2 linked regions of the Drosophila melanogaster genome follow. The protein of the gene in region 2 interacts with the protein of the main gene of each other region in a pairwise test. Each region holds a gene or a part of one and is shown on either strand. Other genes may lie near its edges.

Evidence for each region.
Region 1: the proteins of Cbp20 (region 2) and Cpsf6 interact in a two-hybrid assay, tested with the Drosophila melanogaster proteins (one large-scale study listed by BioGRID).

Annotation. Positions count from the first base shown.
Region 1 is NT_037436.4:8,309,748-8,317,540, forward strand, and holds Cpsf6 (cleavage and polyadenylation specific factor 6), read right to left. Parts: upstream 5,756-7,793; 5' UTR 5,391-5,755; coding exon 5,325-5,390; intron 4,930-5,324; coding exon 4,210-4,929; intron 3,405-4,209; coding exon 3,264-3,404; intron 3,004-3,263; coding exon 2,537-3,003; intron 2,327-2,536; coding exon 2,027-2,326; intron 1,969-2,026; coding exon 1,900-1,968; intron 1,480-1,899; coding exon 1,284-1,479; 3' UTR 746-1,283; downstream 1-745. UniProt on the Drosophila melanogaster protein: May play a role in pre-mRNA 3'-processing.
Region 2 is NT_033777.3:18,162,696-18,166,211, forward strand, and holds Cbp20 (cap binding protein 20), read left to right. Parts: upstream 1-1,965; 5' UTR 1,966-2,033; coding exon 2,034-2,081; intron 2,082-2,136; coding exon 2,137-2,354; intron 2,355-2,478; coding exon 2,479-2,677; 3' UTR 2,678-2,744; downstream 2,745-3,516. Other genes in the region: CG7218 (uncharacterized protein), read right to left, coding at 1-334, 409-1,019, 1,409-1,607; Prx5 (peroxiredoxin 5), read right to left, coding at 2,871-3,200, 3,331-3,465. UniProt on the Drosophila melanogaster protein: Component of the cap-binding complex (CBC), which binds co-transcriptionally to the 5' cap of pre-mRNAs and is involved in various processes such as pre-mRNA splicing and RNA-mediated gene silencing (RNAi).

The sequences.
Region 1 (7,793 bases), on a different chromosome or scaffold from region 2:
AATTGCAATTCGGGATTAGTGGGACATGATCTTAGTCGAGTATCGTTTACAAAATGTATATACAAATTAAAAGTAAAGCTAGAATTTAAAAAAGTAAAATGTAGATGATACAATTGGAGGCCTAAGTTGTGTAAAATGAGCCGCGAGTAGTACAGTATCTCGGGGGGAACTGAATGACTTTGTTCTTTTCTTGGAACCTATGTTAGGAACTACATCAGCTTGTAACGTTAGTATAGTTAACTACGATAAATGCGATTGGGACGTTTCTCTTTTAGAGTAATTTAGTCTAAAAATCATGGTATTTGGGCTAAAAGCACACACTCGACTTATTCTATACAAACATATGGTTTTCTCCATCCGTTTATGCGGATGGATTCAGTCGGCATTTGAATGCTACAAAAATTCACTCACACTCAGTCTCAAGCACACAATTATGATCGACTTAAGTTTAATTGTTAAATAAAAACAAGATTAAACAAATGCGTGGAGAATGTTTACAACAAAAGATCGCGAAATATTTGAAAATACATTAGGGATAACGATTTTCGGCCTCAGTCGGCAAAATGATTTTGTTAATATAACAATTTCCATATTAATTGCACGCACAAGTGCAATAATTTTGTAATTTTTACATACAATTTTGTTGTACAATTATAAAGTCATTAACTAATAAGATGTTTTTTTTTTTATATAATAAGAGTACAAGAAGACACACAATACAAGACAGTTTTGGTAAAGGTTTTTTCTGGAACAATTCTTTTTTTCATACGTTTATGTTTTATTAAATAAACCGAAATTTTAGAGTACAATAATATTGAAATTCTGCTGCGAAGACGGCGGTGCAGGAATGCTAGTTGTTTGTTGTTTGATGATCCAGTGCGCATCAGTGTCTATAATGTCCCACGCTGACTGTCCCCTTGGCTTCTCCATCGATCCTCCTGCTACTGCTGCTGACTTCGGTCTGCCGGTCTTGATGTTGCCAGGATTCTGTGATGTGAAGTTGGATGGATCCAGAGGCAGTCCCCGTCCGTCGTTGGTAAAATCTTGTCAGCATTTCGGCTTATTATAGTATGTCTAGAAGAACTATGCTGTTTGCCATATTCATATCCTACGTATTGGTAATGTTAGATACAAATCGAAAATCTGTTAATTGTGGCTAGCTTGTCATCCCACCAAGCTGCGGCTTATTGTTTGTTAATAGAGTGTGTTTAGTATATCTGTGTTGCATCTTTACACTTGATTACGGGTCCACTGGCGATGGTTCCAACTTCCACTTACGGCAGTCAATGCCGGGAACGGTGCTCCTCACGCCTGTCGCGATCACGCTCCCGCTCGCGGTCGCGGTCTCGATCGCGGTCGCGTCGCTCACGGTCCGAGGAGCGGTACCTTTCCCGATCCTCGTAGTAGCGCTTCGATGATGGCGCCTCCGCTGCTTCGGCGACTACGGGTTCCGGCGACTTTCGTGGACGCACCGATCGGCTGTTTTCGGATTATGGGATTGAAATTAACGCAAGGTTTTCATTTCGAGCTTAAAAATAATTCGCTTAATTGTCACCGTATATTGTTGCACAAAAGAGCAAAAATATTCTGATGAGCCTAAACAGTTACAATTCAAGCTAACATCTTTACAGAAAGCTTTTAATGAAAATAAAAAATTTGAAAAGCCTATACCTTAAAAATACTACCTTTTAATAAATTATACATTTTTCCAAATATTTTAAAATAAAGTTTCGTCTGACTTTACAAATCTACACTTGTTTTTACAGCAAAAGTAAAAAATCTGTTTACGAGTGAATAAATTATGAGTTCTATGCTATTTAAATGAAGCACTATGATTAATTAATCAGCAACTTTTAAATGAGACAGTGAAGCGAATTTTTAGAAGTAGAACGTCTTTACCTGTCATCCCTGTAGTGATCTGGAGCCTGGCGTTCACGTTCTCTACTGCGAGACCTCTCTCTGTAGCTTCTAGAAAATGAATACGGAATTAAGTGTGAGGCTTACACATGGTAGAACCAAAACTTACCCGCCATCCCGTTCACGCTCACGATCCCGATCGCGTTCCCGCTCCCGAGATCGCTCGCGGTACCTGGACGTGGAACGCTCACGTCGCTGTCGGCTGCGATGAGATCGCTCCCTCGACCGCGACCTTTCGCGCCTATTGTAGCTCTTGGCCTCGATGCCATGCAACGTGTCCTGCAGCGAGCTAATCAGAATTTTGCATCGCTCATCGTGCGCTACCTTGGACTGTTTGATCAGTGAAATGGCTGTGACCAGTGTCTCGATGGCGCTCGAGTATTCACCAGCGGCTGCATCAGAAACAGCTCTGAAAATAAATTAGCATAAAAAGGGAATTGATATTTGATCAACAAAGTAATTAATTATCTAGATAATTTATTAATTAGACCGGATCTGAGTCATAGTTTCAATAATTGGAATTTTCTATGAATTCGACTTAGGAATGGGTTAGTTTTTAAATAATAACTACAAGTTTTGACCTCGTTAAAGAAAACATTTTAAAAACCTTTGCACTCACCTGGCGATCGCCGAACTGCTGACTGTGCGATTTCTGCTCATCACCTCCTCGAACTCCACCTCCGTCAGTTGCGGACCCATCTGCTGCGGATCGGGGAAGGGACCTGGTGGCTTACCCTGCGGTGGCGGCCACGGACCACGTGGTCCATGCTGGGCGAACTGGGGTGGCGGTCCATGCTGTGGCGTCATGTTCATGCCCTGTTGCGGTGGCATATTCATGCCTGGCTGTGGACCTGGTGCTCCGTGGGGCGGGCCACCCATGCCCGGATGCTGGGCAGGACCACCAGGCTGGTTAAAGAATGCTGGGTTCACGTGGGGTGCGGGTGCGCCGTGTGGTCCGCCCGGACCTGGTGCTGGGGGAAGGCCACGTGGCGGACCTTGCGGCGGGAAACCACCGTGCATGGGTGGACGACGCCAGTCGGGACCTGCCGGACCCCTGACGGGCATGCCCATTGGGCCTCCTTGGAACTGCAAGGCAGAAGAGACAAGATTATTTACTGTTCCCAATGATCGGATCGAATCGGTTTCTAAGCTATAGTATGAGTTTGTGTTGCATGGGTTGATCTGTGGAATTACTGAAAATGTTCTGAATACATCGCTTAAGACTAAGTTAACTAAGGTTAACTTAAGTTGGGTTAGTCTTCCTTTATCTCGCCTTCTCTCTGGCTTCGTTAGAATTATATTATGGCATAGATACAAAGAGGACTCAGTGCTTTGGGGATTGTTACCATTGGTCGCTGCGGTGGTCCGTTCGGTGGACCTGGTCGCGGCCCGCCTGGCCGCTGACCTGGCCATTGGCCCTGCGCTGACGGATACCGGGGTGGCGGCTGTTGGTTCCCCATGAGCCCGCCTTGCGGATGCATTGGCGGCTATATTAATACGAATTACGTTTTATATTGAAGTAGTAGTTGTTGTTGTGGGGTAGAAGTGTGCGTAAGCGTTGTCAAAGACATGGAATAGAACATAAATCGTAATACATAAACATTTTGTATAACAATAGCGGGCCATTATACACAATTACAAATACTAGGGGGGGAAATACATTAACGCAATTAAATCAAAAGTATATATTATTTGAGTGGAACCAGGAAGGCACTGCTCTTGATTTTAATTTATTACATGTGCTTTTTTTTGTTGAAAGTCTATGACTAGAGTACAAAAGGAGTAAAAAGAATACAAACTGCCTTAGGCCGAGGAGTGCTACAAAAAATTGCTCTGAAATTACTTGTGAATTAATAGAAGTAAAGAATAAGAATAGTACTTAAAGACATAAATAAAAATTCTTAGAAACTTAATTTGTACGACAGCTTTAGTTTAGTTTATAAATTATCAAATGAAATACTAACAAGAGATCGGATATTTCAGATTGTTTATATCTCACATCTAAAGTCGTTATTGTTTTCTCTAAATTGTAAAACTAAGTTTCTACGTTTAATTTACAAAAGAATATCGAACAACTGAAGTAGAACATATTCGTTTATAAACTATACATGAAGTCGTATATTTAGGGTTTCTAATTTTACCTAAGTAAGCAAATTTTGCATTCAGAACAATTTTGATGGAAATAGGAAATAATGTAGGAATGTAGAAACAAAACAAATTAGAACCGAGCGATATTTCTACAAACGATGAGACCTCTTGGGGCCATGTGGGGCTAAAACAGTGGTTGTGTACCTGCATTCGTGGAGGTCCTGAGTTGGGTCCGCCCACCTGGGGAACCTGCGACATGTGCTGCGGTCGGTACTGGCCCGGCTGCATGATGGAGTTCATCCCGCGCGGTGGATGTCCCGGTGGTCCACCTCCTTGCGGTCCTCCTGGATGTCCGGTGGGCATTGGCCCGCCACCCATACTGGGTGGTGCCGGACCCCTGGGCGGTCCATTCTGCTGCGGCGGCGGCACTGGACGCGTCTTTTGCAGACTCTCGAATTGGGTGAGTGCCTGCTTGCTGGGATACGTGACCACCGGCGCTTGGCCGTGCATCTCCTTCTTGGGCAGCTGGTCGAGCACGGCGCGCAGGCTAGATTCTGAGCCGAGGGAGATTACACTGAAGCCCTTCGACTGACCGTTGGCCCTGTTCTCAAAAAACTTCACTTCCTGTAGATCACTCACGCCAATGTCTCGCAGCGAATTGGCGATATCCTGGTCAGTGGTCCACCATGTGAGATTGCCCACATAAAGCTGGTAGCGGCGATTCATGGTCGGAGTGAGGCTACCACTGCTCTGATGGTACACCCCATTGGGACCACCGGAATTCCGTTCGCCGGGTTCCCCGGAGCCTGGCCCTGCGGCTCCATCTGCGGAGGGCGTTCCACCGCCCCCGCCACCTGAGGCGGCCGATTCGGTGGGACCGCCTATGTCATCGTATAGGTCTACTCCATCGCCTCCAAATTCGTCCTGTGCGGATAAAGCAAAGTAATTAACAAGTGGGTCAAACTGTTGTGGGAATCCCGTAAAATCGTTAAAAATAAACGATCAAGTCTTGTTTTTTTTACAAATTCGATTTTACTCTATTTTTACTTTAGAATTTTTAGAATGTATAGTTATTGGGATTCGTACAATTCTCTACATTTCCATGGCTAAAGAAATTAAAAAAAATTACGTTTCATTTTTATATAAATATAATATCCCTGCACTCAGTTCCTAGAACCCTACTTTACAAGGTACCAAGTGGTCGAGTTCGCCCAAGACGCCGTTCTACCCCCTAACGCAATTCTTTCGGACATCGATCCACCCTACTGTATACATACACACGCGGCTTGCAGAGCGACTGCCTTTTTCCCATGGCTTACCTGAGCCTGCCCGGCAAAGTCCTTGTCGAGGTCCTCCGCGTACAGATCCAAGACCACGTCGGCCATGTTGAGCCGGAAAAGTTGCTATTCCTAGGCGTAATTACTGATTTTTCACCGCTTTTCCCAATTTTCGCACGCACACTAAGACACTCGCCAATCTTTCCGTCTCTGTCCCACTTGCACTCGCGCCTCGTACAGTTTCTTTTTTTTTGCGGGGGAGGGGGAAGCCGGAGCAGAAACCGGCGTGCTGCTGCGCGATTTAGCCGGGTAATCGCGCCCGCTGCACAATTAATTGATTAATTGCTTTGGCGCGTTGTTTTCCGTTGGGTGAATTCTGTAACTATTTACATTCTACTCGTGCACGAACTAGTTTCTTCAATCTTGCGAAAAAATTGTCAGCGTAAAATGGCGGAGCGGTGCAGTGTGACTGTAAAGCTGAAATGTGGAAAACCTATGCGGTATATTTTTGCTCGCATACTAGAAAATACCACATCCTGTTTGGGGTATTCCGCAATTTGACAGTTAATGAGAATACAACTACGATAAAATATATTTAATGAATAGAATTTAATTAGATGTGTTTGTTACCTAAATCGCTTTATTATTACCATAAAATAATCACAAATACTTGACATCAATTTCCAATTTGACTGTGGTCGTAGCGTGGACACAAACCATTGAAAATATATCGACTTCTATCGAATTTTGAATTTTAAAACCAACCGTTAGAACTTTCTTGAAATGTGTAATAAGTTCATTAGGTTCTTTGTTATTAAAAATCGACATGTGAAAATACTTAACATTCATTACAACACCCATAACAGGCATATCTTAATTTAAATATGCATACTTCTAATAAATTTGCCTTTTTAGGGGACCACCATCACACACACATTAATTTGCATAAATTGTTAATGCTGCCCAAAAACTATAGCCATGCATATATTAGATTTGCAGGTCCAAATAGACGCTGACCGTGTCACTTGCACAACTAGACAGCGCACTTGGCCAGAGCTCCAAATTTAGAATTTAAATATAGCAATTAAGCTGATTTATGCGGCCCGTCTGCAGGTTACAATAATTGCCGCTAACAACTCGGCTCTCCGAAATCTTCGAACTTGCTGGTGGCTGGGAACCGAGGAGATTGTGGCGCCGTCGACTTGGCCACTCGTATGCAAATGCGCGGTGAAAAATTGGGGGAAAAAAAAACCGAGGCAGCATTTTTTAGTCGGGCCTGTGAAAAAAAAGACACATATCCCGAAATCTAGTGCATGATTAGCCATGTTATTCGTGTATCTGATGTTTTTTCATTTTTCTTCTCGTATTTGGGCAGTAGTCCACCTGTTGGTATTTAGTTTTTAACTTTGGCTCTTTGACTCCCATATGTTAGTTGCGTTAATGAATTGCCTTAAATGTCAATTACCACTGGCTTTTATCGTCCAATCTGAACGGACGGCAATTATATTTGCTGCTCTCGCCTCATGCGATTGTGTGTTTAATTAACAAGAGTAATTAAATGGGTAATTACGATCTTTACAGCAATCAATCGATTTTTAAATGCTTCAGCGAATAAAGCTATTGCAGATTGGATTTTCGCGATTTGCATATGTGGAAATGTGTTTCCAATTCAAGGTGGGCGGTTCTTCAAGAGCAATCACGCAGATGGAAATCGACGGATGTTGGTGGCGAGGGTGCAGTCAATTGAAATTCTCGGCTAATCGCTGACATTTTTGGGACAGAATTGGGGCTCAAAGGTGCAACATTGAAGGGGAGGAGACTTACGCACGTAGTATTTATCTTAAATATACTGCACGCTTTTAAAATAACCAACAATAATAGGATAAAAATCAATTGCTATGAAAATATTGCGCATACGCCGTGTGGCCTTTGGCTGGCTATCATAAAAGTCGTATAAGTGTTATTGAATGTTTCCGATCACTTAGATCTACATAATGGCTACCACTCATATCAATTGCCCCCCATCGACCATTTCGGACGTGCGTAAGTCATGTCAAAAATTTATTGCGTGACCATTGGCTGGGATACTTTATCAAAAAGCGGCGCCGCAGCCTAACAAAGTGCCAACTTGCAACTTCCAAGCTTCCAACTGCCCAGTAGCCGTCGTGCCGCTCCACCACCATCAGTTGGGCAATGGATACGCAAAGAGAACATGCATAAATCTCACACCACAGCCGGCCATCAAGTGCACCTACACAGCAGCAGTCATTCGATGCGATTCGATTCGGTTCGGTCCTGGCCAAGTGTCGAGGTGCCAATTAAGGCTACACACTGCTGGGTATTTTGACCATATCATACTGCAAACTGCGAACTGTAAGCTACAAACTGCACTGCATGGATAATTTTTTTAACTCCGTGGAGCGACCGAAATGGACCAGGCCGAGTGTCATTTGATTCTTGTGGCAGGCTGGCGCGTTTCATGCGCCTTTGACATGCAACCAGGGTCCAAAT
Region 2 (3,516 bases):
AGATGCTCTCCGGCAGCTCATTGAATCGCGTGATAAACGCATGCTTCACCCAATCGATCAGAATTTCCGTGAACAGCACGGCAAAGCAGTCGGGCAGCATTACACAGAACTGGGTGATGCTCCAGTCAAACTCCTTCATGGTCTGGATGACCACAATGAACAGAAGCACAGACAGATGGAATCGCTCTCGTACATCGCTGCAGGTCAATTGGAACAGGTTGTTTTTGTCGAACTTCTTGAACACGGATCCCTTGAGCTCCACGAAATTATTCGATATCATGATGGTCAGCAGGCCCTTGTTGTTGGAGTTCACCGCCACATTCAAACAGGTGGCCTGAAGGAATAGTTTAGAAACCAAACCAATATAATCACAGAGAAAATGTGGTTTATAAAGCTACCATTACTCACCTGAAACATGATCAGTCCGCTGTGCAAGAAGACATAGATTAGCGTGAAGAGAACGTGCGTAAGCACTCCAAAGTGCTCTCGCTTGGAATTCTTTGGTTCTGTCGCCGTCCAGAAGAGAGCATCGATCGTGTCCTGACCAAAAGCGGACAACAGCCGGTCGCCCACCTCCAGCATGTTGTAGAATATGTACAGCTTGATGATCGACTGTGACTTGATGATGTGGTACACCCGATTCGTGTCCACCAGGAGCATTATCAGCGTCACCGTCATCCAGATGACGCCCTTCAGCAGATCACAGATCTCCGCCGGCGATAGCAGCCTTTGTCCGCTGCTGCGTAGTCGAAAGATTCTTGCCACCGTCCTGGAAACTAGGGCCCAAACGGCCATCACAAATCGGACGGGCAGAAAAGTGTGAATGTAGAGAAATGAGTCGGCGCACTGCATGATCCCGTACACCATGAATCGCTCCAGATCCCGCGGTATGCGCATGAAGCTGTAGATCTTCTGCCTACGCGCCGAATAGCGCTCCTCGTCGTGCTCCAGCATATAGCCGCGTGTCATCTCCACTTTGAAGAAGTCGTAGAATGTGTTTGTGCAGGTTTCGGCGGTTCCTGCAAAAATAAAAGAAAAATGAATGATAAGTATGAATCAAATATAAAGTATATGCATAGATTCTAATGATTTAAGTAAAATAGATAACGATTGATTACAAATCATTGATTATACATCCTTATCCTTAGTTAAAACAACTTCAAAAATTGCAAATTATGATATATTAGGTTTTTAAGAGCTTTATCTGGAATTTAAGTTAATTAAAAATCTCTCTAGAACTTTAAATATAGCATCAAATCTAAGGCAAATGTGTATGTTATGATCAAAAGTAAAGTTGCTATGAAATAGCGCGAAACCCAATTAAAATTAGTTAACGTAAATGTCATCCTAAGAACTAAATAATAATAATTCAAAAGAATGTTTTTCCAATCAGTAAATCCGTGTTTACCGCTCTGCAGTCGCTGCTGCGCTGAGCCCGCTGCCGGCGTCGCAGTCGGCGTCGCTGCAACGTCATCCTGGGCGAGCGGCGCCTTTTGCTTCTGCTCCTCCTGCTGCTGATGATGCAGTTCCTCCACTCGGCTGCCGGTGACGTCGCCGCGAAAGCGCAGCTGACGCTTGCCGCCCGCGGAATTGAGTGTGGCGTTCATTAAGTACGGTGTGCGGAGTCCATAAAATTAACAATAACAACGAGCTACAAAATTTCGGGGTGAAACAGCAGTTATATGAAAATGTACTAACGCGTGCCGAAAATACCCAAACGTAAACAGTGTGTGTATCGAATGTACAGAACTATCGCCTAAAGTAACAGCTTAGTTTATATTATATTAACATGGTTAATATTTGCAATGATTTTTATTCTAAGCTTAAAGAATAAGTTCCCGTTAGGGCCATGAGAGAAATTGATATATAAGTATACAACGAATTTTAAAATAATATATTTTTGCTACCCAGTAAACTTTTTATGCACTAGCTCACCGATTCATATTTCAAAGTGCTATCGAAGTATCAGTCAATAGAGTGCCGTCACTAAATAAAAGCAGAGAAAATATTTCAATAGTTTGTAGCTGAAAAATATGTTCGCATCTGTGGAATTAAGCTCATATCGCGATCAGCACTTCAAGGTGAGTACATCCGAAGGCGCCACAGCAGATCTCCGACTCAATAAACCAATTGCAGGGCTCGCGCTCCGAGCAAGAGCGATCGCTCCGCGACTCGTGTACACTTTACGTGGGAAACTTGAGCTTCTACACCACCGAGGAGCAGATCCACGAGCTCTTCTCCCGCTGCGGCGATGTTCGTGTGATTGTGATGGGCCTGGACAAGTATAAGAAGACGCCCTGCGGCTTCTGCTTCGTGGAGTACTATGTCCGATCGGAGGCGGAGGCGGCCATGAGGTGAGCCATATCCATCTCTCCACGCTAGAAAAAGCCGCCTTTTTTCCGGCATTTGTAGAAGTAATCAGATGGGGTATCATTATCTCTTAACTAACTTCAACACTCTTTTCTTCTCCCACAAAAGATTTGTGAATGGCACTCGCTTGGACGACCGTCTGATTCGTGTGGACTGGGACGCCGGCTTCGTGGAGGGCAGGCAGTATGGACGCGGCAAAACCGGCGGACAGGTGCGAGATGAATACCGCACGGATTACGATGCCGGCCGCGGGGGTTATGGCAAACTGTTGTCACAGAAGATTGCACCCAACACGGACAATCGCTAGTTATTAGATAAAATGACTGTAAAGACTATAAGCCCCCCAATTAGATATTAAAGCATACCCCTTAGACATAACATCTCTAATCGCATATATATTGTACGTTTTACATAGTTCTTTTGAAGACGTAATTGATATCATTGCGGCCTAGCATTAGCATGTATGAGTTTCTAGTGTTTTCGGGCTGACTGGATTCCATTTACTTCTTGCCAATGTTGTTGGCCAGCGAGCAGCTGAGTCCGGTGCCATCGGGCTCGACATTCAGCTCGGTCACCTTGCCGTTCTCCACCACCAGCGAGTAGCGCTTTGAGCGCACGCCGCCAAGTGGTGGCAGATCGATGGTCACATCCAGGGCCTTGGTGAAACCGCCGGCGGGATCAGCTAGGAGGCGCACCTTGCCCGCGGCTCCGTGCTCCTTGCCCCAGGCGGACATCACAAAGGGATCGTTGACCGAAACGCAGACAATCTCGTCCACGCCCTGCTTGGACTTCAGCTCATCGGCGGAGCTCACATAGCCGGGCAAGTGGGTCTGTGGGTGTGGGGAAATGCATTATTCAGTTGGAATACATAAGCTGCATAAATTACACTATACTGCTGGAAGTTTCTACAATATTCGGAAACTCAAAGCAGATGACTTTGCAACTATGCTACCTACGCACCTTTGAGCAGCCTGGAGTGAAGGCGCCGGGAACGCCGAAGATGATCACCTTCTTGCCATTGACGAGATCGCCGGTGTTGATTTTGTTGGCTGGCGAGTCCTCGAACAGATCCACCGATGGCAGGGAGTCTCCTACCTGGAAATAAAGTGGGAGGCAGACAGGCGTACTTAGAGAAAAGAGGCAGCA